Canis lupus familiaris: one gene and its partners. The protein of the gene in region 1 interacts with the protein of each later gene in a pairwise test. Links are inferred from orthologs where the notes say so. Each region holds a gene or a part of one and is shown on either strand. Other genes may lie near its edges. The genes, in order: UBE2D3, ZNRF1, RFWD3, ZNRF2, TRIM27, TRIM17 and AMFR.

Evidence for each region.
Region 2: the proteins of UBE2D3 (region 1) and ZNRF1 interact in binary tests that used the Homo sapiens proteins (3 or more experiments, as listed by UniProt). The link is inferred for Canis lupus familiaris from reciprocal best matches to the Homo sapiens genes UBE2D3 and ZNRF1.
Region 3: the proteins of UBE2D3 (region 1) and RFWD3 interact in a two-hybrid assay, tested with the Homo sapiens proteins (2 studies listed by BioGRID and IntAct). The link is inferred for Canis lupus familiaris from reciprocal best matches to the Homo sapiens genes UBE2D3 and RFWD3.
Region 4: the proteins of UBE2D3 (region 1) and ZNRF2 interact in a two-hybrid assay, tested with the Homo sapiens proteins (2 studies listed by BioGRID). The link is inferred for Canis lupus familiaris from reciprocal best matches to the Homo sapiens genes UBE2D3 and ZNRF2.
Region 5: the proteins of UBE2D3 (region 1) and TRIM27 interact in a two-hybrid assay, tested with the Homo sapiens proteins (2 studies listed by BioGRID and IntAct). The link is inferred for Canis lupus familiaris from reciprocal best matches to the Homo sapiens genes UBE2D3 and TRIM27.
Region 6: the proteins of UBE2D3 (region 1) and TRIM17 interact in a two-hybrid assay, tested with the Homo sapiens proteins (2 studies listed by BioGRID and IntAct). The link is inferred for Canis lupus familiaris from reciprocal best matches to the Homo sapiens genes UBE2D3 and TRIM17.
Region 7: the proteins of UBE2D3 (region 1) and AMFR interact in a two-hybrid assay, tested with the Homo sapiens proteins (2 studies listed by BioGRID and IntAct). The link is inferred for Canis lupus familiaris from reciprocal best matches to the Homo sapiens genes UBE2D3 and AMFR.

Annotation. Positions count from the first base shown.
Region 1 is NC_049253.1:15,659,564-15,663,619, reverse strand, and holds the start of UBE2D3 (ubiquitin-conjugating enzyme E2 D3), read right to left. Parts: upstream 2,830-4,056; 5' UTR 2,667-2,829; exon of another isoform or gene 2,628-2,666; intron 2,518-2,627; exon of another isoform or gene 2,308-2,517; intron 2,300-2,307; exon of another isoform or gene 2,082-2,299; intron 1,367-2,081; 5' UTR 1,234-1,366; coding exon 1,210-1,233; intron 480-1,209; exon of another isoform or gene 83-479; intron 1-82. UniProt on the Homo sapiens protein: Accepts ubiquitin from the E1 complex and catalyzes its covalent attachment to other proteins. In vitro catalyzes 'Lys-11'-, as well as 'Lys-48'-linked polyubiquitination.
Region 2 is NC_049226.1:76,271,047-76,275,202, reverse strand, and holds the start of ZNRF1 (E3 ubiquitin-protein ligase ZNRF1), read left to right. Parts: upstream 1-1,322; 5' UTR 1,323-1,698; coding exon 1,699-2,122; intron 2,123-4,156. UniProt on the Homo sapiens protein: E3 ubiquitin-protein ligase that plays a role in different processes including cell differentiation, receptor recycling or regulation of inflammation. Mediates the ubiquitination of AKT1 and GLUL, thereby playing a role in neuron cells differentiation.
Region 3 is NC_049226.1:76,566,541-76,570,076, forward strand, and holds part of RFWD3 (E3 ubiquitin-protein ligase RFWD3), read left to right. Parts: intron 1-1,402; coding exon 1,403-1,579; intron 1,580-3,214; coding exon 3,215-3,429; intron 3,430-3,536. UniProt on the Homo sapiens protein: E3 ubiquitin-protein ligase required for the repair of DNA interstrand cross-links (ICL) in response to DNA damage. Plays a key role in RPA-mediated DNA damage signaling and repair.
Region 4 is NC_049235.1:43,124,127-43,128,184, forward strand, and holds the start of ZNRF2 (E3 ubiquitin-protein ligase ZNRF2), read left to right. Parts: upstream 1-1,240; 5' UTR 1,241-1,255; coding exon 1,256-1,745; intron 1,746-4,058. UniProt on the Homo sapiens protein: E3 ubiquitin-protein ligase that plays a role in the establishment and maintenance of neuronal transmission and plasticity. Ubiquitinates the Na(+)/K(+) ATPase alpha-1 subunit/ATP1A1 and thereby influences its endocytosis and/or degradation.
Region 5 is NC_049256.1:27,401,738-27,405,273, reverse strand, and holds part of TRIM27 (zinc finger protein RFP), read left to right. Parts: intron 1-1,074; coding exon 1,075-1,305; intron 1,306-3,536. UniProt on the Homo sapiens protein: E3 ubiquitin-protein ligase that mediates ubiquitination of various substrates and thereby plays a role in diffent processes including proliferation, innate immunity, apoptosis, immune response or autophagy.
Region 6 is NC_049235.1:306,414-310,711, forward strand, and holds the start of TRIM17 (E3 ubiquitin-protein ligase TRIM17), read left to right. Parts: upstream 1-1,467; 5' UTR 1,468-1,942; coding exon 1,943-2,485; exon of another isoform or gene 2,486-2,959; coding exon 2,960-3,055; exon of another isoform or gene 3,056-3,489; coding exon 3,490-3,720; intron 3,721-3,838; exon of another isoform or gene 3,839-4,298. UniProt on the Homo sapiens protein: E3 ubiquitin ligase that plays important roles in the regulation of neuronal apoptosis, selective autophagy or cell proliferation.
Region 7 is NC_049223.1:59,049,378-59,052,913, forward strand, and holds part of AMFR (E3 ubiquitin-protein ligase AMFR), read left to right. Parts: intron 1-389; coding exon 390-542; intron 543-2,990; coding exon 2,991-3,031; intron 3,032-3,196; coding exon 3,197-3,329; intron 3,330-3,536. UniProt on the Homo sapiens protein: E3 ubiquitin-protein ligase that mediates the polyubiquitination of lysine and cysteine residues on target proteins, such as CD3D, CYP3A4, CFTR, INSIG1, SOAT2/ACAT2 and APOB for proteasomal degradation.

The DNA of each region.
Region 1 (4,056 bases):
TTATTCCATGACATTTTTTTCAAGTTAGCTGTAAATACTCCACCCTCCTCGATTGTGCAAGAACCAAATACACCACACATACACAAGTTACAAAAAAGGGAAATGCAGTTTGAGAGTTTGAACATCGAGTCTTCAGCAGGACGTCTCAAGAGCTGTGTACAATCTGATGTAAAAGTTAACATTTAACAAAGAATATTATTTCATATAATGACGAAAGGAGATGCCGGAAAAAGCCTGAACCAGTTAAAGCAGCCGCCATCTTAAAATGCGGGATAGAAGTTAGAGCAAGAAAATGAGACTAAACCACCGGAGGTGAAGGTTCCGCTCACCCGGCGCCCCCCCCAGGCTCGAAAAAACGTATTTCTTTCAACTTCTATCTATCAATAGTTTCTATCAAACCACGTTTCAAGTAGCCAATCATCTCCGAAAGTGTTATAAAATCAGCCGAGACAAAGATAGGTACACCAAACCTTCCCTTACTGCCATCACACCCGTACCGCCCACCCCCCCACCCCCCAGTCAAAAGAAGGGAGCTTCCAGAAGCCTTTTACACCAGTTCGCAGCGTCCCTCTTATAAATTCGAGTGAGAAGTCTCAACTACAAAACATAGGAAGTGGTAACATCGTGTCAGCCCATCTCTTCCCAGCCCCACTTATTCTTGTGTAACCTGCTCAGAGTCGATGAAGTTTAACTAGGTTCAGTCACTACTCTTCAGCCGCCAAGAGACTTCTACACCGACCCCCAATTAGGTTCAGGACCCGCCAGATTTCTATCACCTCCCCTAGGAGTTTCCTACGACTCTTCCCCCTAGAAAACCCGAAAACCTTGATCTTACAGCCAAAGTTCTCAAGCACCGAGACTAGGGAGCGCCATGACATCTGCGGGAGCGTCTCTGGGCAATTCTGACCCTCAAACAAGACTAAAAAACTCTTTTTAGCAGCAAAACCCAAGCGCCTAAAATCACTCTCCCCCACCCCTCATTTGGGCCGACTCCAACTGAAACATACTCAAGATAAACAGCTCATTCGCCACAAGTGTTCTGTTCTCTAGCTTTAAGCCTCCTTTCTTTCCCATCCCCCCCCCCCCCACAGAAGTGACCCAAGGAAAGACGTTTTCCTAATTATACTTCCTCCCCACCCCCACGCTTTCCTCCGAGACCGAGCCTTCGTTTCCTCCCACGACCCCCTTCCCTTCAGCCCCGTGGGTTACCTTATTAATCCGTTTCAGCGCCATAGTCTGTGCTTTTCGTCTGGCTCCTCACTCTCTCGGTGTGTGCTCAAAGGTCCGGCCAAAACTCTTGATTACCCGGGCGGCAGGGAAGGATTGTCTCTCTTCGTCTCACACCGGCTCTGCCAGACACAGGCGCCTTTTGCAAAAACGGAGCAGATCAGCACTCGCACAGGCCCCGGAGAGACCCTGATGAATCCAGGTCCCTTAAAACGGTCGCGATCCGGGGTGGGTGGGGTGGCGTGGCAAAGCCACCAACAGCCTCTATGCCGTGCTTCGGCCCGGAGAGGCGGCGAGGGTGACGGGAAGAGCGGAGGGGGCGGCTACAAGTTTGACTTCCCGGCCTCTCGAAAGAGACCCGGGTGGGAGAGGAAGAGGCGTAGGAGAAAGGGGTGGGTGCGGGGCAGGGTCCGGAGCCCAGCAGAGGAGGAGCCGGGGCCTAGTCGGCGCTGCGCCGGCGTCACTAGGGCGAAGAAAGGCTAGGGGGGAGGGGGAAGACTGGAGGCTCCGGACTGACGCCGGGGTTCTTTCGGTTTCTGCTCAAAGGTGCGGCCCGGAAGGAGAAGGAAATAATAAAGAGACTTGCTGTAGGTTGCCGTCCCCGCAGCCAGAGCTATTCTGTCGGCCCTGACGCCACCGTACACTCCGCCTTCCAGCGCGCTCCCGCACGCGCCCGCCCCGCCACCGCCACCACGCGCCCGAGCTGCCCCTGAGGCTCCGGCTCGGGCGCGAGGACGCGCCCATTCCCCCACCCCCTTGGGCAGGCGAGGCCCCGGCTTCCCCAGCCTTCCCACCCTACCCCACCCAACAGGCTGGTCACTCCAGCCACCCGAGGCCCGGATCTCCCCTCTTACCCGGCCGGCCAGGGGGCCGGCCTCCCTTCCCTTCCCCTAGCCGTCCACACCCACGCGTACAGAGGGGCCGGGGCCTCCCTCAAGCTGCGGCCTCGGCCTCCTCCCCGCGCGGCAGCTGGTGCCTCCCCGGCCCTACGGGGCTCACGCGCACGACACAGCCACAAGATGTCCGCTCTGACGGAACTACTGCCAGCTGCCACGCTCCGCCCCTCCCCCCTCCTCCTGCCTCTTCACCGCCGCGTATCAGTCCGCCAACGCCGCCGTCGCGAGCACAGGACGAAGCGAAGGGGGACGGGGGGACGGTTTACTTCCTACGTCCGGGACCGAGTTGATCTGTGCTACCCCCTCTTCCTTCTTTTCGGAACAGCACCTTCTTACTAAACAGATCGGAGGTTGGACTGGGAGGGCGGGGGCCGGAGGCGGGTCATGGGCTGGGGGGGGGGGGAGGGTGGACGAGCGGCGGAAACCCTCAGACTCAGAGAAGCATCGAGAACCGGAAGGAGACCATGGGAGGAAGGTAATGGAAGCGGCAGCTGCGCGGTCGAGACCCACGCCCCTCCCAGCAGCGTCCCCCAGTTTCCTCACTTGGTATTGAGGCGGCGGATCTCGCGAGAACCTCGTGGCTGGCTAGCCGGAGCGATAGCCCTGCAATGACTTAAGGGCAGTTGCGTGAGCTCTTCCTGTTGGGGGCCCGCCCCCCGAATCTACAAGTTCTCGCGAGATGCAATAGGCACCGGCTGGAGTAGGGGCGGGCCGTCGTCGGGAAGCACCGCCCCTGGATGCTTCTGCTGGTGGGAGGGAGGGGAACTGGAATTCCCCGGACGGGTTGGAGCGCGCGCCGGCGCGTCCGTCCCTCACGCGCCCAATCAGGAATGTGCGGCGGGAGGTGCCACGGGCTAATCACCGGGTACCTTTAGTCCAGGTTGATCCGGGCCTTCCGAGATTTCGGTGGAGCAGGTGAGCAATATATCCGCACTCGCCTGCCCGTGCGGGCTCGTTAACCAGGGGGAGGAGGCACCCCTCAAAGTGCAACACTCGTTGTAAATAGAACCGAGCGGACCGCTGATGAGCGCTCTCACGTGCCGAGACACAGCGCGTTTCTGACCTAGAGGGTCCGTACTGAGGAAAGGGGGCCTCCTAGAGCCCCTCCCAGTCGCAGTCGTCTAGGCATCAGATTCAACTATGGATTAACGTGGAGGGTAGGGAAATAGGGGCAGGCTATTTGCCTGTCACCATCCGCCAGGATTGAGGTACGGGAAGAGACTTAACACCTCCTTCTTCCTCTTGCCGTGTTTCAACTTCTAGGTCCACAGAGTTGCAAAACTCAAAAGATCAGAGTTTTGGGTCAGAAAAACGTATTACTTAACTGAAACATCCGGGGGCGGGCAGAAAGGGAAGAGCAGAATTGGCCTGTTTAATCTGCCGGGTGTAAAATAATGGAGAAGGTGGTTTGGCTCTCTAGGGTATCCTTCAGGCAAAGGGGTGGTACGACAGTAATTTTTAAAAGGATTAAAGGTAAGCGCTGACCTGCTTAAAGTTTTCGAACATTTCCTGACTTAACGAAGTGGATATTTTAAAGAATCAAAGAGGAAAATTAACTTGTTTTTAAAATATAGTTTAAAAAAAAAAGAAAAGCAGCAATTTCTGGTTACAATAAAGTATTACCTAATAAAAGCTAAAGTAGGTCTGTGATGAATGGGCTAATGTATACCGCTTACGTGGTCAGGAGGAGTGTCACTCGAGCAATTGGTGAAACCCTGCTCAAGCTAGTATCTCTGTGAATCAGCTAAGGATTTTGTTCAGAATGTAGATTTTGATGTAGTAGGCCTTGGTGGAGCATGAGATTTCACAGTTTTAACAAACTCCCAGGTGGTACAGATGATTCTGGTCAGAGTACAGCCCCGTGAATAGCAGAGTACTAAAGTGCTCATCACATAGCCTGTTTCCCTTCTCCTAGAATAATCTTTGTTCTCTG
Region 2 (4,156 bases), on another chromosome or scaffold:
CATCATAGTCGGCATGAAGTGGCTCTTCTGAAGCTTTGTGAGAACCAGGACTCTGTGACAGATCAGCTCTTCTTTTTTCTTGGGGGGGGGGGGCTTCTTTTACTCTCTCTCTCTATACCTTGTTTTGACTCCTCGATGTGGAAAGGACGTTCAGAGCAAGGAAGTCAGACCAGGGACTGGGTGATGCTCATAGCCAGCCACCACCCAGCACTTGAAAAAATAGTTGAATGAATGAGTGGATGGACGGACACGAATTTGGGAGAAAGGCATATTGCAAAGTGCAGACTTGTCCGACAAATACTTGTTGAGTACCTACTGTGTCCCACTATGGTGCATGTTGGAATAAGAGGTAAACGAAAACGGGGATTCGCCCTGGACTAGGGAGTTTCTAAGATCGCCAGTTGTAGTTGTGTCTACATCTCCGCACTTTCTATCACACGCCTCATGATTTTTCAGGATCCCATTTTAGCTAAGGACTCTACCCTTAGGAAGGAAGGGTAGATCTACTCAGCAACATCCGGGGTCACAAGTGCCCCAGGGCGCTGCGTACCCCCCAAACCAGCTAAGAATCCCCCAAACGCCAGGCTTCCTGAGCTTAGGGGTTCCTGGTTGGGAAAGCTCCGCGAGAACGGACAGCACGTCCACCAGAGGGTGCTGTGGGGGCAAATTCGTGCGGGGAGGGAGGCTTGACCGGTGACCCTCAGAGCCAGGTAGGCGTCCCGAGCAATTTTCATTCTTCCCTGCGGTTCCTTCCCAGCGCTTTGAACCGTGTCCGCCCCTCCTCCCGTAGGTGGTTCCCCCTCAACAATCAGCCATCTGGGGGGCCGTAACGAGTGCTGGCCTTGAAAAGCCGCCTGGCTCCTGCTCCCGACGGCCGGCGGCTCGGGCCACGCGGGTCACAGGCCGGTCGCGGGGGGGGCGGGCGGGCGGGCGGGCGCGGGGACCTCCCGGCGGCAGGGCCCGGCGCCGCAGGGGCCGCGAAGGGGTTAACCCGGCGGGGGGGAGGGGAGGGGGCGCGGGCCGCGCCTGCGCTCTGCCGCCCTCCATTGTCTCCACGGCGGCGAGGAGCGCCGGCGAGCGCAGCCCGGGACCGAGCGGGGCGGAGCGGCTGGCGGGGCCGGCGGCGGCTGGAGCGAGAGCGCGACGCGACGCGCCCGCGGCTTCCCGAGCTCCGCCTGGCCGCCCAGCGCCGCAGCCCGCCCGCGGCCTGGAGGGGTCCGGGCCGGCGTCCATGGTCGCGGCGTCCTGAGGCGGGGGCGGCGCGCGGCGCCCCCAGCCCTCCTCCGCCTCCCCCTGTCCGGCGGGCGGCCTCCTCCGGCGCCTCCCTGCGCCCGCCCGCCGCCTCCCTCCTCCTTCCCTGCGGCTCCCCGGGCTTTCGGGAGCCCGGGGGCGGCCTGTGGCGCGCCGAGCCCGCTCCGGACTGCGCCTCTTTGGACCTTGAGGGGAAACATGCGTTTGGCTTGGATCGTTTTGAATTCTTAGTTTGGGATCCCCGCCCGCCTGCCTCTTCCGCCCCGCGGGGGTTTCTTTTCTTTTTTCTTTTTTTCTTTTTTCCCCCGTGTTTTTTTTTTTCCCCCCCCTCCCGGTCTCCTTTTTGACTCCCTCCCCCTTTATGCTCGCCCAGCCCTGCCCCCGCTGCTGAGAAGTGGGGGAGGGTCTCGGCCTCCAGGTTCCCGCCCCACCGGGGCCCGGGCGAGCATGGGGGGCAAGCAGAGCACGGCGGCCCGCTCCCGGGGCCCCTTTCCGGGGGTCTCCACCGATGACAGCGCCGTGCCCCCGCCGGGAGGGGCGCCCCACTTTGGGCACTACCGGGCGGGCGGCGGGGCCATGGGGCTGCGCAGCCGCTCGGTCAGCTCGGTGGCGGGCATGGGCATGGACCCCAGCACGGCCGGGGGGGTGCCCTTTGGCCTCTACACCCCCGCCTCCCGGGGCACCGGCGACTCGGAGAGGGCGCCCGGCGGCGGAGGGTCTGCGTCCGACTCCACCTATGCCCATGGCAATGGTTACCAGGAGACCGGCGGCGGTCACCATAGAGACGGGATGCTGTACCTGGGCTCCCGAGCCTCGCTGGCGGATGCTCTACCTCTGCACATCGCACCCAGGTGGTTCAGCTCGCACAGTGGTGAGTCCGCGGGCGGTGGAGGCCTCGGAGGGTGGAGTGCAAGGGAGGGCGCGCCGGGGCGCCCCAAACCTTCGCGCGCTTGCGAACATTTGGATGTGGAGTGCGCGACCTGGGTCTGTCTGCCTTTCCTTTGGTTCCTGGGGGATGAATGGGCTGTCTACCCTGTAGAGAAGAGGCTTCCTGCGAGGCTGCGGAGCCGGGCGTTCTAGGACTCCAGGCGTCGGTTCACTTGTGGATGAGCAGAGCGAAACCTGCCCATTGAAGTCCCATTTATCAGGCATCGCCGGCCTCAGAGAGGAGGTCTCCTCTGGGTTAGAGCAAGTCGGCCTTGATGCTTCCTTTCTGTCACTGCAGCATTGTGCCTGCCTAACCGTTAACAGAGAGAGGGATCCAGTTTGACCAAGCAGTTGTCTCCCAAACAAAAGAGTGTGAAAAGAAAGAAAATTGGGGCCAAGTGTTGGATGGATTAGGGCTCGCACTTTTGCTGGGAGGAGGGGTTGCCCAGTTTTGCCACCCTGCTGGAGATGTGTTTGAATTGTTTAAAATGGAGCAGCCGGAAGGCTGCTGCCATAGACAGGTGTGGCCTGCCGAACGGAGGGCCTAGCCAGGGAGCCTCCCTCTGAGGCTTTGCAGGACCAGGGCTCTGGTGGCGGGTGCTGCATGCAGTAGGTTTGGCTCCATGACTCTCACATCCCTCCATCTTTTTTCTTCCCCTCCATGCTAAGTGCTGGGTCTTCCTCCTAATCTGTGTCTTTTTTGTAATGGGAGGTGGGACTTTATTGCCTGGCTCCTGGTACATAACAGGGGGAAGAAGATTCAAAGAATCCGGATGCATTCATTTTGTGAACTTCTGATGACAGGCCAGCAAAAAGCTGGAGGAGGATTTCCCAGGCCCCGACTGGCAGGGCAGAAAAGGCACTGGCAGGAGCTTTTGGAGGAAAACAGGTCTGTCTGCTCAGCTAACCTGAGAAGCCAGGTTAGGCTTCTAGAAAATTGGTCAAAAGGGGTGTGGGGCCACTATTTGTTAATTGGCAAGTTGGAGTGAAGAAGTTAGCATATTCAGACTTCTTTGGGAGAGTTAAGAAGATCTAGATATTGTGTAGAAAGAAGAAAGGTTGCCTTATGGAGGATGTATTTGTTGGATCACTGTTCTGGCTATTGTGAAATAGGGTAGACTTTTTGAATCTTTTTTTTTTTCTTTTTTTTTTAAATTTCTGGAAATGGTCTGGTTTTTGTTTCGATTCTATAAACTTTAATTTGTGAAATAAATTTTTGAGGGGGAAATAGTGACTAATTTGGGGTAACACTTGAAAGTGGATTTTGAATCGCTAAAGTGGTATTTTATTTTATTTTAATTATTTTTAAGATTTTATTTATTCATTTACGAGAGACACACAGAAAGAGAGGCAGAGACGCAGGCAGAGGGAGAAGCGGGCTCCCTGCAGGAAGCCCAAAGCGGGACTCGATCCCGGGATACCGGGATCGTGCTCCGAGCCAAAGGCAGATGCTCAACCACTGAGCCACCTGGGTGTCCCTAAAGTGGTGTTTTTAATTCCAAAACAGATCTCTAGATATCATCGGAGCTTCCTTGATCTGCATCAGTCTTTGCCCTAAATGAGATGCAAGGTGTGGCTGCTTTGGGCACTTTTAGACATTTGATCATTTTTAGACATCTTGAAATTAAAAATCTTACTCATAAAATTTGGTCCAGAAAATACAGCTAGCTGTATTTGTGAGATGACTATGATTAACATTTATTTATTTATTTATTTATGTTTAAGATTTTATTTATTTATTCATGACAGACACAGAACGAGAGAGAGAGAGAGAGAGAGAGAGAGAGGCAGAGACACAGGCAGAGGGAGAAACAGGCTCCATTCTGGGAGCCCGACGTTGGACTTGATCCCAGGTCTCCAGGATCACACCCTGGGCCCAAAGGCAGCGCTAAACCGCTGAGCTACCTGGGCTGCCCTGTGATTAACTTTTTTTTTTTTTTAATTTTTATTTATTTATGATAGTCACAGAGAGAGAGAG
Region 3 (3,536 bases), on another chromosome or scaffold:
TTGCTTTTCAAAGTAGATACAATAGGCTACAAAACAGTATATGCAATGCCCTGTTTCTTTAAAAATGATCTGTATCACAACATACATCTTAAGCCAGGCAGATGAGAGAAACACCCTAGAGATGGTTGAATGACAATATGGAGGGAGCCTTGGTACTGGGCACCACGAGGTTACCTACCAGCTTGGAACTGCTTATTCCTGGTCTGTTACTGGGATCCTCCTGCTAAACAAAAATACTCTCCAGGAGCTTACTGTCTTGAGGTGTCGTGATTTCTCTCTCATCAGTAACCCTCAGTTACTGTATTTTATCCTTCATGTGCCCTGCAACTGCTATGACCCAGATCTGAATGTGCTGAGTGCCTTCATCTTTTAGAAAGTAGTTCTGATCAGACATCTGATGGTTGGCTTCCTGTTCTGCAGTTAAATCTGAGGCACATCATGATATCACTATCAGGCCTGATAAGCCTTCTGACTTTTTAAGAATGCTTCAGCTTGGGACACCTTGGTGTCTCGGCGGTTGAGCTCCTGCCTTCAGCCCAGGGCGTGATCCTGGAGTCCCAGGATCGAGTTCCACATCGGGCTCCCTGCATGGAGCCTGTTTCTCTCTCTCTGCCTATGTCTCTGCCTCTCTGTGTGTGGGTGTCTCATGAATAAATAAATAAAATCTTTTTTTAAAAAATGCTTCAGCTTAGCCCCAAAACTCAATATAACATTGTTTTATATTTATGTATGTGTTGTGTTTTTTCCTAGTGGTGTTAAAAAATAGGTGAAAAAAGTGCAGGTTAAACACCAAAGTGACATTAATGACTACCTCTGGGTAGTTATGGGTAGTTAGTTTTGTTTTTCTTGTAGGTAAATTCTAATTTTTTAGCGTTGAATATTTTACCATTGAATACCTGTATTATAGATAATTATGGAGAATTGAGGTAGAGTGGGGAATGTGCTGTTTAAATACCTTTTTAACTTATTTTATTTTCCTTACATTTCAAGAGGAAAACTTACATCCCCCAAAACAAATAATTTGTAATTAAAAGGGGTTACTAGGCAATCCCTAGAGAAACTTAGAAATCCCAAAATAGTTTGGATGTGTGGGTATGTTCTTAAGATTATCATTGGGGGCATCAGGGTGGCTCAGTCAGTTGAGTGTCTACCTTTTGCTCAGGTCATGATCCCAGGGTTCTGGGATTGAGCCTCACATTCAGCTTGCTGCTCAGCAGGAAGTCTGCCTCTCCCTCTCCCTCTGACCTCCACTCCCCCCCCCCCTTTGTGCTCGCTCTCTCACTCTCTCAAATAAATATCATCTGTTTTTTTAAAAAGATTATCAGTGAAATGATAATTTTTATATCTTTTTATATATTTGATTTTCTTAATGCGTAATTGTAAAACTCCTATATCTCCACAGCCTAGAGACAAATACAGTGGTCCAGACATATAATGCAGGACGTCCTGTCTGGAGCTGCTGCTGGTGTCTTGATGAAAGTAATCATATCTATGCCGGTCTGGTCAATGGTTCGATTCTGCTGTATGACCTTCGAAACACGAGCTCTCATATCCAGGAGTTAGCACCCCAGAAAGCCAGGTAGGGAGCCACTTACTTTTCCCTGTAGGTAGCAGCTTTCTGTTGGATATGAATCCTCTCTTTTGAGAATGTTTACATTTGGTCAGAATTTCTCACAGAGGGCAGTTCTCTGAGTCCAGTGATGTCTTCTCATTTTGGACTCCCTAAGATCCTTTGTATGTGTTCATGATATTTCTACATGGTAGAAAGTCCTAGTACCAAGTACAGCCAGGTTCATACAGTCACTCATCACCCAACATGGCAAAATGAAGTCAGATCTGTGTTCAAAACCCAGTTCTACTGCATAGGAGCTGTGTGACCTTTGTCACGTTTCTTGGCTTGTTAGAGCTATTGCAGAGGAAGAGATCAGTAAAAGGCCTATAAAAAAAAATGATTTAAAACTTCCCTAACCTCCAGCTAAACAAACTTGGTCTAAAGATACCATGTTACTATGATTTATCATTTATAATCCAGTTACAGAATTGGGAGATTTTTAGAGTCAGCCCAAATTCTGAGGATGGGTGGCCACCTGCACCACTATGACTCTTCAGAATGTGTTGAGTACCATTTGGGTGTAATATTCTCTTAAAGGCATAAATTTCTCAAAAGGAGAAGTGGTGGAGTCTGACTTAGGCCAAAATGAGAAGTATCTTAAAAGAGAATTTCTATTTCCAATGTGAATATATTTTGAAAGGGGGGCAGGGGATCTAAACAGAAAGATACCACTATAGTAACGATACAGTAATTGGTTACTAAACCTAGGCTCAGCACTTTGGAGTCTTTTCATTTGGGTGGGGTAGACTCATGCTTCAGTTATGCGGGCCTGAAGACAACTGATGTAAACTTTTACAGATGTCAACTCCTAACAAACACGCTAACTGCCATTGATGTAGAGGGATCCAGACGGAGTAGGCAAGAACATGGAGCAAATAGCAAGGAAAGGGTATTTGTATGTAATGTTCATTTCTGCTTTAGTTTGCTTCATTGTGATAGGGCAATGAAAGAAAGCAGACCAAGTGACCCCTTTGGCAACTTCAGCAGAAGCAAAGTTCATAGGAATATAGTGGCAGGCTAATAACTTCTGAGAGAATTCTTGGCATACAGTTCTGGTCATATGCTTGCAGAAAGAGATTTAGAATATGTCTAAAGAAACAATCTTGTTTCTGAATTAAAATGTGGTTGCTTCAGGGACACCTGGCTGGCTCAGTTGGAAGAGCACATGACTTGATCTTCGAGGTCTTGAGTTGGAGCTCCATGTTGGGTGTGCAGATTACTTAAAAAGAAAAATGCAATTGCCTCAGGCTATATTTTAATTGAAGGATCTGTCAGCTACAGCTCTTTATTAGATGTGTGAGCTGCATTTCCTTTTTTTTTTTTTTTTTTTTTCCTGCGTTTCCTTTCTGACTTTACTTATGTCTGTGGCCAACCCCTTTACCAGAAGCTTCACACCAGTCAAGCTTCTTGGATTTATGATCTTGTACTGTTAGAGTAGGTTGGTAGTTTTGATCCAATGTCAAAGGATAGTGACCCACAGAAGGTCTTTATTTAACCTCTTCTGTAGAGGTAGGACTGCTCGGGGGCTCCTGACACGGGTCTGGAGTCTGGAATTGTACAAGTACTGGAATGTGAAACATAGTTTTCTTTCTTTCCCTCCAGATGCCCGCTGGTGTCCCTATCCTACATACCCAGAGCTGCCTCATCTGCATTTCCATATGGTGGGGTGTTGGCTGGAACTTTGGAGAACGCTTCCTTCTGGGAGCTAAAAATGGGCTTTTCTCATTGGCCTCATACGCTGCCCATGGAGCCAGGGGGCTATGTAGACTTTCAGACAGAGAGCAGCACACGGCACTGTCTTGTGACCTACAGGCCCGGTGAGTGTTAGGATGTCCTGGTCGGACTTTCTGTGGTTTGTCTGGGAGCACATTGGTTCAAGGGAGAGAGAGAGAGTTTGCCCTGCCCTTCAGATAGCACCAAGAAA
Region 4 (4,058 bases), on another chromosome or scaffold:
TTGGGTTATTTATGTTTTTGCTGTTCTTAGTTTTTTATCATCAACATCGCTGAGCTTCTGTTTTATTTAAAAGACACGCTCTGAGTAACACGGATGAGGGGGTTACCCCCTCCCCAAACACCCCTCCCCCCGCAAACCGAAGGCTCAGGACCCAGGAGACAGACCCTTCCCAACCCCCCAGCAGGGAAGACGACAAGTTGGGAGACGCGGTCTCATCCAGGGTCCCAGGGCCACGTGCGAGGGGAGGGGCCGCCTTCTGGTTGGCGCCCCGGGGGGCTCCGTCCGTCCAATCGGCTTCGGCCCCGCGGTGGCGGAGGGGGCGGGGCCAACGGCCCGTCCGTCACCGAGCCCACGGGCCGCAGCACCTACCACACCGCTGTACCTTGGCGGGGGCGGGGCGGGCAGGCCGCGGCCGCGGGGGGGGGGGCGGGGCCGGGGGGCGGGGCCGGGCCGGCGGAAGCCAATCCGCGGGGCGGCGCGAGGGGGCGGGGGTGGGGCCGCCCGCCCGCCCGCGACCCAAACACCGAGTCCGGGTGCACTTTGGAGCCGCGCTGCTCCTCGGCCTTCCGGTGCGAGCCGGGGCGCCTCCTCCCCTGCCGGGCGCCCACAGCCCCCACCCCCGGGGCCCTCAGCCCCCCGCCCCCCGCGCCCCTCCTTCGCCGCGGGGAGCGCGGCGACGGTTGCCGGGAAGCGCGCGCCGCCCCTCCCTCCCCTCCCCTCCTCCGTCCTCCCCTCACGCGCCGCCCGTTTTTTTTTTTTTCCTCTTTCCTCCGTTAATACCAGCTGGGTGGCTGGGGGAGGAGGGAAGGTGGCCCCGGCGGAGTCTGGGCGGGCGCCTCCCCCTCAGCCGCGAGCCGCCGCCGTGTGAGCCGGAGGATGGCGGCGGTGGCTGCGGCCGCCCGGGAGGAGGCGGTACCGAGGCCCGGAGCGCAGAGCGCGGCGACGGCGGCAGAGAGCGGCAGCGGCCCGTCGCGGCGCCTCAGAACCGAAACCGGCGGCCGCCGCAGCGCCACCTGAGCCGGCCGCGGCGCGACCTCCTTCCTGCCCTCGCCTCCCCCCGCGGCCTCCGGCGGGCCGCCCCCGCCCCCGCCCCCGCCCCCGCCCCCGCCCCGCGAGCCCCGGAGCGCGCCGGGCGCCGACCGCCCTTCGGGGCTCCGGGCGGCGGCCCTGGACGTGCGGGCTGGTGGCAGCGCCGGCCGCGGCGCCTCGGCCCTGCCCGCTCGCTCCCGCCCTCCCGGCCCGGGGCAGGGCGGACATGGGCGCCAAGCAGAGCGGCCCGGCCGCCGCTAACGGCCGCACCCGCGCCTACTCGGGCTCGGATCTACCTTCCAGCAGCGGCGGAGGGACCAACGGGACGGCGGGCGGCGGCGTTGGCGGCGTTGGCGTTGGCGGCGTTGGCGGCGGCGCGCGGGCCGCGGCGAGGTTTCCGGCTCAGGTGCCGGGCGCGCACCAGCCCAGCGGCTCGGGCGGCGCGGCGGCGGCCTCGGCGGCCCCGCGCAGCCGCTCCCTCGGCGGGGCCGTGGGGAGCGTGGCGGCGGCGGCCCGCGCGGCGCAGTCGTCCTTCAGCATCCCCAACAGCAGCAGCGGCCCGTACGGCTCGCAGGACTCGGTGCACAGCAGCCCCGAGGACGGCGGCGGCGGCGGCGGCGGCGGCGGCAGGGACCGGCCGGCGGGCGGGGGCCCCGGCGGGCCGCGCCTGGTGATCGGCTCCTTACCGGCTCACCTCTCGCCGCACATGTTCGGAGGTACGCCCGGCTCTCCGCGCCTCTCCCTGCACGTGGGCAGCACCTCAGCGCGCGGCCCGGCTCGCCCAGCGCTCTGGGAGGAGGAGGGCGGGGGGGGGGGGTGCGTGGAGGGAGTGCGTGGGGGGGGGGGCGGGGGTCGCCGCGTAGCCCCGGCCGCGCCGCCCCCTCCCTGGGCGTCGGTTGCGCGACCCGGGGGTGCCCAGACGGGAAGCCCTGCGTTCCCCGCCCCCCCCCCCCCCCCCCCCCGGGGTGAATGGAGCAAAGGTTGTTTCTCCAGCAAACCGCTGCGCCAGCCCTCGTGCTTTTGTAGCTCTGAGGATCAGGAAGTCGGGAGAAGACCGGCTGGTTGCCTAACGTAGTTCTTTCTAACTGGGGACACGAGCGGTGAGCTTTTTTTTTTTTAAAAAAAAAAAGAAAAAAAAAAAAAAAAAAAGGCCGAGAGTCCGAGCGGGTCGAAGGAACGTAGGAGTATCTGAGGAAGGAGGGAGTCCGAGTGTTCACGTACAGCCGTAGCCCCGCAGCCTCTGTAAACAGCCCCACCTACCGCGGACGGCTGCATCGGCCGCGCGTGCGGTGGGAGACGTGTTGGACCCCGGCCGGCGGCTGCTCTGGGTAACGGCGAACGCGAGCTCCGATTCATTTGGACCGGGGCGTTTTAAAAATTGGAAGCAGTTTGTCAAAGAGAAGCCCGATGACCAGAACTCCGCCTAAAAGACGCGGTGAAAAGCATAGGCGCTTTTACTGGAAAGCAGTGCTGACTAGGAGTCGAGGAAAAGTCACTTTGTGGTAACTGGAAATTTTCAACGGCAAAACGATGAGCTTCTGTGTGGAAACAGGAAGGGTGCACTTGATCAGAGGAAACTGAATTCGGCCTCACGAGTCCTGCTCTATAGTGATTTACTCTGCCTTAAAAACGGTTAGCATCGTAAACGAATCAAGACACCCCCCCCCCCCCTTCCCAGTTGGTGAGAAGAAATTGAAGTTTGATCTGGTCGGGGGTGCTGACTACAGTAGTAGAGAAACATCCCCATATCATTGCATTATGTGCTGTGATCTTACATAAATTCACAAGTGAGCACAGCCCGAACAGTGAGAAAGGCATTCCCTCCATTTTTGTAGCCCCCTTTTCCCCCCACAGAGGTGAGAAATTTGAGTTGGTCAAGTGGAATGTTCAGTAATTTATCTGTTCTCATGTTCTGTACTTTCAATATTCATGTTAGCAAATTGAAAATGGGAATGTCAGGTTTCGTTTTTTTCATGTCATTTATGCTGCCTTGCACATTCAATCAAGAACAACTCTTGAATTACTTGTTATAATTTTGCTATGAAAATAGTAATATCGACACTCCTAAAATTGCGCCATTAAAAACCATCTTTAATTTTTGAGATAAAGAACTGGTGTTGTTCTTACTGTGATTGGAGCATAATTAATGCAGTTGAAGGTTAGTTTGATCTTAACACAGCTGTAGTCAGTCACTACACTGAGGAATAACAAAAGACAGTTTCTTGAGAATGGAAGATTAGTGCAAGAATAAAAGATAAGCTGGTTTTTAAAAATATCTTTTTAAAGTGAAAATTTGCTTTTAGCAGTTATGATCATCAAAAGGTATATTTAAAAGCTTGTTAAAGGAATAAGAAAGCTTGTCAAATTATTATCTTATTTCTTTAATATACTGATTACTGTATTTTTCCTAATTGGCTGATAATTACCCTTAACAAAGAGTTAGTATATCTGTAAGGATTTATTTTCTGAAAATAAATACCTTCCATTCAGAGTGGGGGGTGGGGTGGGCAAATAGTTGATATTCCTGCTATTCATAGTAAGTTAGCAAATGAAAAAGACCTAGTTCATAAAAGTAGAAGTAAAGTAAATTTATCCTTTTTTTAAAAATTTAAGTTCCTAGTTTTGTGCACTTAGTTCTTTTTGTACTTTCAGGGTTAGGATGATTGGAGCTAATAGTACAGTGACACTGTAGAACTTGTGGCAGCCTTTCCTAACCAGGTCTCTGTAGAGAATAGAGCCCTTAATGTCCTAAGACATCTATTGTATGCAGCTAATTAACTTTTTTTCTCCTTTGCATTTAGAATGATTCTAGGTATGTGTCATTCTTCTGAAATTTGAGAAAACAGTCAGATACTCTGTTTGGTAGTTGAGATGAGGAACTCCAGTTGAGAGAGCCTGGAAGGGGTTCAGAGAAATTACCTATTCCCATTGTATGATAAGAACAAATCAATGTGCAGGTACCTTAAATCCTAGTTGACACAGGGAGATGGAATACTCTTATGTAAAAACGCATCTTCCTACAGGCATAT
Region 5 (3,536 bases), on another chromosome or scaffold:
GTGTTCACTCCTCAGTGTGTTGCACAGAGAGTGCTTAGGAAGGTGGTGAGAAGAGTGGGTCATGGGAAAGGTTCTCAGGAAGAGTGGAGCTCAGGACAGGTGTCAACAAACATCTGTAAAGGGCCACATAGTCAGGATTTTTGACTCCGTGGGCCACTTAGTCTATGTCACAACTACTCAACTCTGTCGTGACAGCTGAAGGCAGCATAATATAATATGTGAATGATGGGTGTGGCTGGGCCCCAGGAAAACTTAATTCCCCAGGAGTAAACAAAGGGAGCTTGCTGACACTTTGTTTAGCAGAGAGCCTCAGGGTTTTGGCAGTGGGAGGTAGATAGAGAAGGAAGGGTAGACTAGTTTTGGCAAACATCTGTTCCAGAAGGGCACCACACCCATAGCCAATGAGGGTAGGTGATGAACAGCCCTGGTGGCCAGAAAGGGGGTGAGGGCCGCACGGGAAGGGCCTTGGTGACGTGGTTGCAGTCATGATGCGAGGATTGAGTGTCCTAGTCCACCCCACATGGCATATATCTGAACCCAGTCACTTCCCTTTCACGGCTCCTAGTTGCAGGAAAGTCTTGCCCCACCCTGGCCTTCCAGGCAAGGTGTGTTCTCTCTTACCTCTTCTGGCTTCTCCCTCAAAACTTAGGTGCTTTGCCAGACACCATCGTTCACCATCTCTCCCGTCGTTTCTTCTGCCAGGAAAGCGTGTCTACCCTTTGACCACATGGTGAACCCCTGTTTCTCCAACCACACTGTGTGTGTTACATTGCCTCTGTGAAGGCTGTACCAGCTTCTCCCACTGCAGGCCATCCTGTCCTCACTACCTGTGGTTGCATGTGTCATGTGAACCGGGCTCTCCTGTGACTATATTCCTTATTTCTGGGGTAACTCACTTCTCAGCCATTGTGTCTAGTCGGTAAAGCCTGAGACCAGGAGTGAATGAACAGGATGCTTGTTTTAGCATGCCGGGACAAGATGATGAGGTCTCAGGGTAGGTAGTCAGGGACAGACATGAAGGGCTCTAGAAGGGAGCCTTCTGTCCTTCAGTACCCTCCCCTGTCATCTACGCAGAGCCTGACCCAGATGGAGAGGGAGAAGATTGTCTGGGAGTTTGAGCAGCTCTATCACTCCTTGAAGGAACATGAGTATCGCCTCCTGGCCCGCCTTGAGGAGCTAGACTTGGCCATCTACAACAGCATCAACGGTGCCATCACCCAGTTCTCCTGCAACATCTCCCACTTGAGTAGCCTGATTGCCCAGCTAGAAGAGAAGCAGCAGCAGCCCACCAGGGAGCTCCTGCAGGTAAGGCATGGAGGTGTGGAGTGTCCCACCAACGTGGCTCCTGCCAAAAAGTCTCCCTTCCCTCTTTGCTAGGCAGTATGGAGCACCTCCCCCTCCCCGCCCCGGTCAACTCTAGGAGTAACAAGCCCTAGCTCAGCTCTCTGGGCTTGTCAGAGAGAAAACATGCATAACAGAAGTTCCAGTTGACACAACTTGGATCGGTCAGTTGCATTGTCTCACGGGAAGGGCAAGAGGAAGACCTAATGCCTAGGCCTGTCCTGTACCCACACGTGGTCTGATCACACTCTTGACCTCTCTGGGCCTCAGTGACCTGATCTACTCCTGGTGTAATGGGAGGTTCAGCCTACATGCCATTTAAAGATTTGAGTAAAGATACTCAGTGAAATGTCCTGTAATTTTAACATATATGTGTACATTAGCACAGCCACAAAACTGAGCACTGGAGCAGGTGGTTGGCCCAAGCGGTCCCTGTGATTTAAGCTGGGTGTAGTTACAAAGCTGCATTGACCTAACCTGGCAAGGCCACAGGAAATGTGCTGTTGTTCATTGAGTGCATATGAATTGTCTTTTCTGGGTCCGGCAGTATTCTGGGCACTGGGATTAAGTGGTGAAAAGCTGTCCTGAAATGTATATTCTAATGTCAGAGTCAGGTACTAAAGAGAACAGCAGGGATCCCTAGGTGGCGCAGCGGTTTGGCGCCTGCCTTCGGCCTAGGGCGCGATCCTGGAGACCCGGGATCGAATCCCACGTCGGGCTCCCGGTGCATGGAGCCTGCTTCTCCCTCTGCCTGTGTCTCTGCCTCTCTCTCTCTCTCTGTGACTATCATAAATAAATAAAAAAAAAAAATAAAAAAAAAAAAAATAAAGAGAACAGTGGGTGTAATGGGTGTTCATAAATGCCATTAAAAGGGATGATGGCATAGGGCACAGGTCAGCAAACCACTCCACCACCTGTTTTTGTATGTCCTTCAGGCTAAGTGGTTTTTACAGTTTGGGAGGGGTTTTTTTTTGTTTGTTTTTTAATAGGAAGAGTGGAGGAAGAGGGGAAGAGAGAATTTTTTTTAAAGATGTTATTTATTCATTCATTCACTCACGAGAGTGAGAGAGAGAGGGAGAAGCAGGTGCATCGCAGGGAGCCCGATGCGGGACTCGATTGCCAGACTGGGATCACACCTTGAGCCGAAGGCTGAGGCTCAACTGCTGAGCCACCCAGGTGTCCTGGGAAGAGAGAACCTTAAGTAGGCTTTATACTCAGTGCAGAAACTATTGTGGGACTTAGTCTCATGACCCGGAGATCATGACCTGAGCCAAAATCAAGAGTCAGACACTTCACCAACTTAGCCACCCAAGGCCCCCTGGTTTTTACAGTTTTAAACGTTTGGAGAAAATCTGAAGATTTTATTTCATGGTATATGAAATTCTATAAAACTCAAACTTTGTTGTCTGCATTTTATTGGCACTTAGCCACTTGGATTCCTGTACATACTGTGTGCATTGTTACTTTCCCACTGCCACAGCAGAGCAGAGTTAAAAACCCAAAATATGTACTATTTGGCTTTTCAGAAAAAGTTTGTTGAGTCCTGCTTTAGACTAATAAGAAGGCCTAGCCTTGAGCCTTAATGACCACCAGTATTTAATTGCCAGGGAGGAAAGGAGGAGTTTGCAAAGTGAACACTTGATCAGAGAAGCAGAAAGTGACCAGGAAGGAGGAGTGGACAGCAGAGTCTCATGCAGTTAAGGGCTGACACGCATTTGGTTTAAAGCCACGGGCATTGCTAATGCCCTCAGAGAGAAGTGCCACAGTAAACACTTAACACTTCCCTAAGGAACCATCCTAGGGACAGTGGTGACTGGCAGGGTGTGTGACCACTGTAGGAATGGGTGTCTGGGTTAAGGGGTAAGACCATAAGGAGAGGTGGGGATTGTGGGACTTTGTGGGAAGGGATGCTTAAAGAAACAAACTAAACATATTGTCAGAGATCATGTGGGAGGAGAGTCTGTTGTAAGGATCTGGGTGAGGAAAGTCATTGAAGCTGTAAAATTAATGAACTTATCACTAATGTCTGTGTCAGAAAAGATGGAAGGGAAAGGGGACTAAGCACATGTATAGGATGTAGTTTTGGAAGATCTTTGGGAAGAGAGGAGGGTGGGGGGGAGGTGGGGATGCAGGCAGGTTGAGGTTTGGTAGCAAAAACATGGTAGCTTTTATTGTCTTGACGTGGGAGAGCAGGG
Region 6 (4,298 bases), on another chromosome or scaffold:
ACCCCCCGGCTCCACTCTCCACCCTCCTCCCCATGCTAACCACCATTAAAGCCACACCATAGACGTGGGCCGCCTGCAGGCAGGGCTGAGAAGCCCCTCACCTCCCACAATGGGGCACCCCCATACCTCCCCCCACCCCATGGTCCCCCTTCACCTCCCCCACAGAGACTCCTTCACTTCCAGCAACCGGGCAACCCCTCCTGCCTTCCCCCAGTGACCCCCCTCACTGCCCCCCCAGACACCCCTTCACCTCCCCCAACCGGGCTCCCACACCTGCTCTCTCTTCTGCTCCCCTCTCTTCCCCACAAGAAATCTACCTCCTGCCCCACGGCTCACAACCCCCTCCCCATCCACTCTCTACCATACCTTCTCCCCCTCCCCGCGGGGACGGCCAGAGCCCCCTCCGTCCCTCCCACCCCTGGCCCACTCTGCGCTGGCCCCCCCTCCGCCCCCACCCTCAGGCTGCTGGCCCCCCCAGCCCTCTCCACCCCATCTTCAGCCCACAACCCGGAACTAGCCTCCCCCGCCCCTGCCCTTTGACCGCCCCCGCCCCTGCTGACGCCACAAAGCCCTGCACCCTCCGCGGCCCCTGCGCCCCCGCAGCCGTCACCCAGATGGCGTTCAGCACACAGACGCAGGCTTTCTGGGGGTGCCGGGGGCGCGCGTGGCTGGGGGCACCCGGCAAGGTGCGGCCTGCGGCCCCTCCCTGTGAGTACATCCCCATAGACCCGCGGGGCAGCAGGTGGCCACCCAGTGGGCGGGGAGGCTCAGGTCCAACCGCCTGCCCTGCTACCCGGGGAGCAGATCCCGCGTTGAAGCTGGTTATAGACACGTAGCCCCCCTCCCAGTCTACAAAGGAGCATTCCCGCAAGCAGGGCAGCCAGTCATCTCCACTGGCCCCAGTTGCTGCCCCCGGATTCTGAGCCAGACCCCAGTTCACCAGACTGCCCCCCTTCCCCGGCTTCTGCAGGTAGGCAGCCCCCCCCCTTCCTGTGGCTGAGAGCCAAGGGAGAGACTGACTACAAAGTCTCTGCAGAGACAGCACCAGAGAAATGGAACCCTTGTCAGGGAATGGGATGCCTAAGGTCACAACATGAGGTCAGGGGTAAATCCACCCGAACTATGTGTGTGCACGTGTAGGTGCCTCTGTGCATGTGTATATGTTTGTGTGTGTGCGCATGTGTGCCTCTGGGCATGTGTGTGCACATGTGTGTATATATTGTGTGCACATGTATAGTGTTTGTGCACATGCGTATACTGTGTATATGTGTGTGTACTGTGTGCATATGTGTATATTGTATGTGTATATCATGTGCACATGTGTATATCAGGTGCACGTGTGTATACTATGTGTGCACATGTGTGTATACTGTGTGCGCATGTGTGTATATATACTGTGTCTGTGCATGTGCATATACTGTGTCCGTGCCTGTGTGTATACTATATGTGCATCTGTGTGTACTGCATGTGTATCCTGTGTGTGCGTGTGCTGTGTTCATGTGTGTATACTGTGTACATGTGTGTGTACTGTGTGCACGTGTGCTGTGTGTGAGCATGTGTGTGTATACTATGTCTGTGCATGTGTGCATGTGCCTCAACGTGTAGGCCTGCAGCTGCACTTGTGCTTGTCTGTATGCTCTGTGCACATGTGCAGGCACGTTGTCCAGGACCAGAGCCGCTCCATAGTTGGAACAGGAGACACAGATTTATTCAGGGTTATTGCCATTCAGGGAGAGGGATCCCGCAGAACCGGCTCGCAGGATGGGGTGGGGGACTTAAGGCTAAAGAGCAGAGGGGGTGGTCAGCCATGGAAAATCACTAAGAGGGGACATAGGGAGGGGGATTCTTTCCAGACTGGCCTAAAGGCTTCTAGACAGGGCAGCGGGGACCTGAGGAGCTAGATCTGACGTCATGGGGGGGCACTCTCAGCCAACTTGGCACGATGATCCCCCCTAAAGTAGCGGGGCTGGCCAAAGACAGGGCTTGGCCGTGGAGAGCCCAGGGCTCCCGGGCAGAGGGTGTGAGGGGCGTTCTTTCTGTTCCTGCCCCAGGAGACATGGATGCCTTGGAACTCGCCAGAAAGCTGCAGGAGGAAGCCACCTGCTCCATCTGCCTTGACTACTTCACGGACCCCGTGATGACCGCCTGTGGCCACAACTTCTGCCGGGAGTGCATCCGCCTAATGTGGGAGAAGGCCAAAAGTAGGAAGGGGGGCAGGAAGCGGAGGGGCTCCTTCCCCTGCCCCGAGTGTCGCGAGCTGTCCCCCCAGAGGAACTTGCGGCCCAACCGCCTGCTGACCAAGGTGGCGGAGATGGCACGCCAGCACCCGGCCTTCCAGAGCAGGGACCTGTGCAAGGCGCACCAGGAGCTCCTCAAGCTCTTCTGTGAGGACGACCAGAGCCCCATCTGTGTCATGTGCAGGGAGTCGCGGGAGCACCGGCCCCACACGGTGGTCCCCATCGAGGAGGCTGTGCAGGAGTACAAGGTGCGGCCGGGGCCGGGGATGGACGGCCGGAGGTGGGGGGGGCACAAGGAGGCCAGGCACAAGCCTCAGCAGACAGGTCGGGGGGGCGACTGCCGGCACCCACGGCCCTCGTGTCTGCACCCTCCATGGTGATGCAGTGGTTGGGCCACAGTTGTTGAGGGGTCCCAGCCAGCCAGGGCTCCGGCGCCACTGGGGGAGAGCTCATCCTTTTCCCTGTCTTCACTCGAAGGGAGGGGCGAGGGGCCCTGTCCCGGGGGCCCACCCTCATGATTTCATGGCCCCCCAAGAGGCCCTAGCTCCTCCCTCCGAGGTGCTGGGGTTAGGACTCAGCCACAACCTTGGGAGGATACATGCAAACCACAGCACAGAGTAGATACAGGGACAGTTACGCAGAAGGGTGTTAGCAGGTGCATCTGTTGGCCAGGCTAGGGGGGGGCCTCAGACCCCACATCCTGTGGTCTGTGTGCCCCACAGCTGAAGTTGGAGGCGGACATTGGGTCCCTTCGGGAGGAGATGATGAAGACAAGAGAGATGCAGGCCAGGGAGAAACAGACCTTGGCGGAGTGGCAGGCAGGTGCCGGTGGCCAGGGTGGGAGAGCCTGCAGAAGGCCCTCAGGGGGCGGGGACTTGCTGTCCTGTGTGGATAAGCGTGTGCGCACATGCACACACACACACGCACACACACAGAGCCCAGATTCCCACCAGAAGCAGGATCCAGAATGTGTGCTCAGCCCAGGCTGGCTGTGTCCAGACACAGTGGATGAGGGTGCACAGGTGCCGGCACACTGCTGTTTGGGGCTCAGCAGGTCACCCCACAGAAATGCTTGCACTCCTGCCTGGGTGGCTCCTTTTCTGTGGGTCACCAGGGCCCTGCAGTGGGGGCACTGCCAGCATTCAAGCTGGTGGGTGCAGCCGGCCAGAGAGATGGGGGACACTGGGGCAGCAGATCCCCAGGCCAGGGCCTGAGCACACCTCTGCCCACTGCCCTCCACGGGACCCTGCAGGAGAAGGTAAAGGAGCAGAGGCAGCGCATCCTGATGGAGTTTGAGAAGATGGGCCTCCTCCTGGTGGAGGAGGAGCAGCGCCTCCTCCAGGCCCTGAAGGAGGAGGAGGACGAGGTAGTGGCCAAGTTACGGGAGAGCTCCGCAGCACTTGAGAAGCAGGGCCACGCCCTGGAGATGCTCCTGCTGCAGTTGGAAGACAAGAACCAGCACACACCGCTACAGATGCTGCAGGTGAAGCAGGTGCCCCTGCTCACCTGGGAGGAGGCCTCGACACCCCTGCTCACCTGGGGGGGAGGGGAGGAGCTCAGCACCCTGCTCACCTGGGAGGGGCCTCAGCACCCCTGCTCACCTGGCTGGTGGGGGAGGAGCTCAGGCGCAGGTGTGGTCAGGGTGGGCCAACTGCAGGAACTGATTCAAACAAGGGAAGCTCGGACTCCAGTCAGCTGAGGCTGCGTAGGGAAGACCGCCTCCTTGTAGACGAGGCCCTAACAACAGACTTTATTGTCTCCGGGTCCCAGAGGCTGAGAGTCTGTGCTCCGGGCGTGGGCAGCGCTGGTTCCTCCTGAGGCCTCCCTCCCTGGGCGTGTACATGGCCATTTGCTCCCCATGTCCTCACCTGGCCATTTCTCTGTGTGTCTGCATCCTAAACTCCTCTTGCCTCAAGGACACGGATCCTACGGGATTGGGCCCACCTTAGTGACCTCACTGTACTGTAACTACCTCTCACCTACTGAGGTCCTGGGGGTGGGGACTCCGGCGATGACTCTGGAGGGACAGTCCACCTATGACAGGCTCCAGGCCTGTGCAGC
Region 7 (3,536 bases), on another chromosome or scaffold:
AGAAAGAAACACATAAGGACATGATGCAGTCTGGAGTGCTAGCCAATGTTGAGAGAATTACATACCTTTGGAAAACTGCTTGGAGAGAGACTTATCATTCCACTAGTAGGAAGATCCTTGAGAATTTGAGATGAAAATAATAACATATGTTATGTTCCGTAAATTAAGCAGTAGAAATCTCTCAATATTCGCTCATGCTCACGTTTAAGTTGGGTGGAGAATTTTGACCATCCAGTAATGGGGTGCTTTTCTGTGCTTGGTGTTTGGTGGTGCTGCTAAGCCCGAGTTCCTGAGCAGAGACTCCCAAACACTAACATTGCATTTCTCAGGGAAGCTTAATACCACAGTGAAGAAGGATGAGCTTCTTTCCTCTCTATTGTGCATTTCAGCTGTCGTTTTCTCCCACCACACCCATGAGTAGCCACGGGCGGGTTCTGTCTCTGTTGATCGCGATGCTGCTTTCTTGCTGTGGATTAGCAGTGGTCTGCTGTGTCACTGGCTACACGCACGGGATGCACACGCTGGCTTTCATGGCGGCGGAGGTAAGTGGATGCAGGTGTTGTCCCCATCTACTCCTGTGTGTTTTCAAGCCCCCTGCACGGTGACTGAGGGTCTTTTGTCTTAATGAGCATATCTTGAATTCCTTGCTTTTGTGTTGGGTACTGATATTGAAGGGAGAAATGTATGATTTCCTGTAATCTTTGCTACAACTTAATAAAAAGTATTAAGTTTTGCTGACATTTATATAGTGCTTTACTGTATGCTGGGGATTGCTCTAAATACCTTATGTGTGTTGACTCATTTTATTATTTCTCTTTATAAATGGGGAAAACTAGTGTAGAGGGTGCAGTGAATGATTTGAAGTTTCAGAGTCAGCAGTGGCACAATTCAAGCCCTGTGACTCCCAATTCCTCCTAAGATATAATGAAGACTGATTGGTGGTGATGAATAAGGAAATATTTTATAATTGGGTTATTTAAGGAGTACCTGGCTGGCTTGGTCGGTGGAATATGGGACTCGCAATCTCAGGGTGATGAGTTCAAGCCCCATGTTGGGTTGGAGCCTTCTAGGAAAAAAATACACACACACTTAATATGTAGATATGTGTGAGAATTTGAGATGAAAATAATAACGTACGTTATGTTCCGTAAATTAATTGGGATTTTAAATGGGATATAAATTAAGATTTTATAGAATAATATATATAAACTTCTTTGTTTTGGAAGAACAATCATATTCATGTACATTTTAAATTTACTCTTTAAAACTTTCTGAAAATAATCATTTTTGTTCAGTAGAAATAAAATTTTTTATATGTCCTTCTATTCAGTTGCTATGTTTGCTTTCTCCCTCAGGCCAAAGGCAAAATATCTCTTTGCCTACTATTAATTACTCCTATTAATTAAAAATTAATAGTAATTGCTACTATTAAAGAAAAAGATGAAATAATAAATTATTAAAGCTAATTAGCTAATATCAAAACACTAAGTTTGAACTACTTTTTGGGTATTTGTTAGAATAGGATTAAAATTTATTGGGGTACCTGGCTGGGTCATTTGGTGGAGTGACTTTTGATCTGGGTGTTGTGAGTTTGAGAACCACATGGGTAAGAATTTATTTAAAAAAATTTTTTTTAAAGTTTTATTTTGCTTAATAGAATTGATTTCAGAATACAATGTAGTGTAACAAATTAGGAAAGGGATGTTTAGGTACTTAGTAAATCATTTACAATTCTAGATAAATACTTTGTGTATGTTCCTCTTGAAAAAAAAATCTGTGTAAAAATGTTTTTGCATTGATTTATGTTACTTTGCTTTACATATATTTTATAATCACCATTTGCGTGATAGTCTGATATTCGTACTATTTTACTTTTAATTAATTTTAACCCAAACTTTGGGAAAGGTATACCTAAAAATAAAGACATTTAAATTAGGCTTTTTTGGATCATACTATAGTATATAATTTTAGCTCATTACTATTGACTTAAGATAATTTATCATGTTATAGTTTCTATATTTTGAACTTAATCATATTTTAAAATTTATACTGTTTCTCTATGTAAAATGTTTTCCATTTATAAACTGGAATTTCCAAATCTCAAACAATATAATAGTTCTATTCTGGTAGTTTAAGAGGAAATTTTCTTACAATCAATTTCTGTAATATCAAATACTATGAAGAGCTTATTTTATTTTTTATTTCCTTCATTCTTTTTGCTTTTGTGTGGGCAAAGGGGGTGTACAAAACGTTATGTAGAGAGCAGGTACTCATCTTGGATTGTGGTACCTAAACTATACTTTGGGTATAGGATCACCAAGTATTCAAACACCCTTTGAGGTAATCAGTGATGATGACTTCCTGCTGTATAAAATAGAAGTGATTGTCATACTACTAGAATGAGCCTCAGGATTGTAGGAGGCAGCCCCAGGAGATGGACGGGTATAATCGATTGTCACCTATTGACAGGAAAAGGCTCAATGAAAGTTGGTTTCTAGGTCATGAAAATATTTCATGGAAATTTGAAGTGGATAAAAAAAATAGTTGGTAAACTTGAACAACCTGCTTTTTTTATTTCAGTTTTGTTCAGATATAATTGACTTACACCATTGACTTTTAAGGTGTACAGCCTAATGGTTAACTGACATAGATTGTGAAGTGATTATCACCGTAAGTTTCCTTAACAGCCATCATTTCATTATAGATACAGAAAAAGAAAGAGAAGGGTTTTTTCTTTGTGATGAGAAGGATTACCCTCTCTACAACTTTCAGAAGTACCACAGCAGTGTTAACCGCACTCATTATGTTGGAGATGACATCCCTACTCCTTAATTATCTTGCAACTGAAGTTTTTACCTTCTGACCACATTCGTCCCATCCATCCCCCCCCCCCCCCCCGGGAATAACCAGTGCTGTAATTGAACTGACAAATGTTTGCTTTTTATATTTCCAAATTTTACTAAAGAAAAAATACATCTTTCTTTATATAGTCTCTTCTTGTGACAGTGAGGACTGCTCACGTGATTTTACGGTGAGTAGAACTTTGGGAGGGAGGCGATTGAGGTCTACCCATACAGTTGATTTTAAGATGTAACATGTATAAAATCTATAAAAATGTGGCTATACTGCATCATGTTTAAGCCAAATTAAATTGTAACAGTAAGTTACTAAAATGATTTTTCTCTGTTCACTGCAGATATGTAATTCACCTCTGGGACCTCAACCATGAAGGGACTTGGGAAGGAAAAGGAACCTATGTCTATTACACAGATTTTGTCATGGAGCTCACTCTCTTGTCCCTGGACCTCATGCACCATATTCATATGTTGGTAAGCTTCCTCAGAAGGAGCTCTAACTGAGCTAAGTGTTTTAGAATCAGGAACTCTGGTTAGTACATGTAAATGAAACATTTGTGGAAACTACATAAAGACTGTTGAAACAAACGCAGCCATGCCCCTCTGTCTTTCTGCCACTGGATATAAAGCAGTGGTGCACTTGGGCTGGAGCCTAGCTCAAGGCTAAGTTTGCTCTCCTCC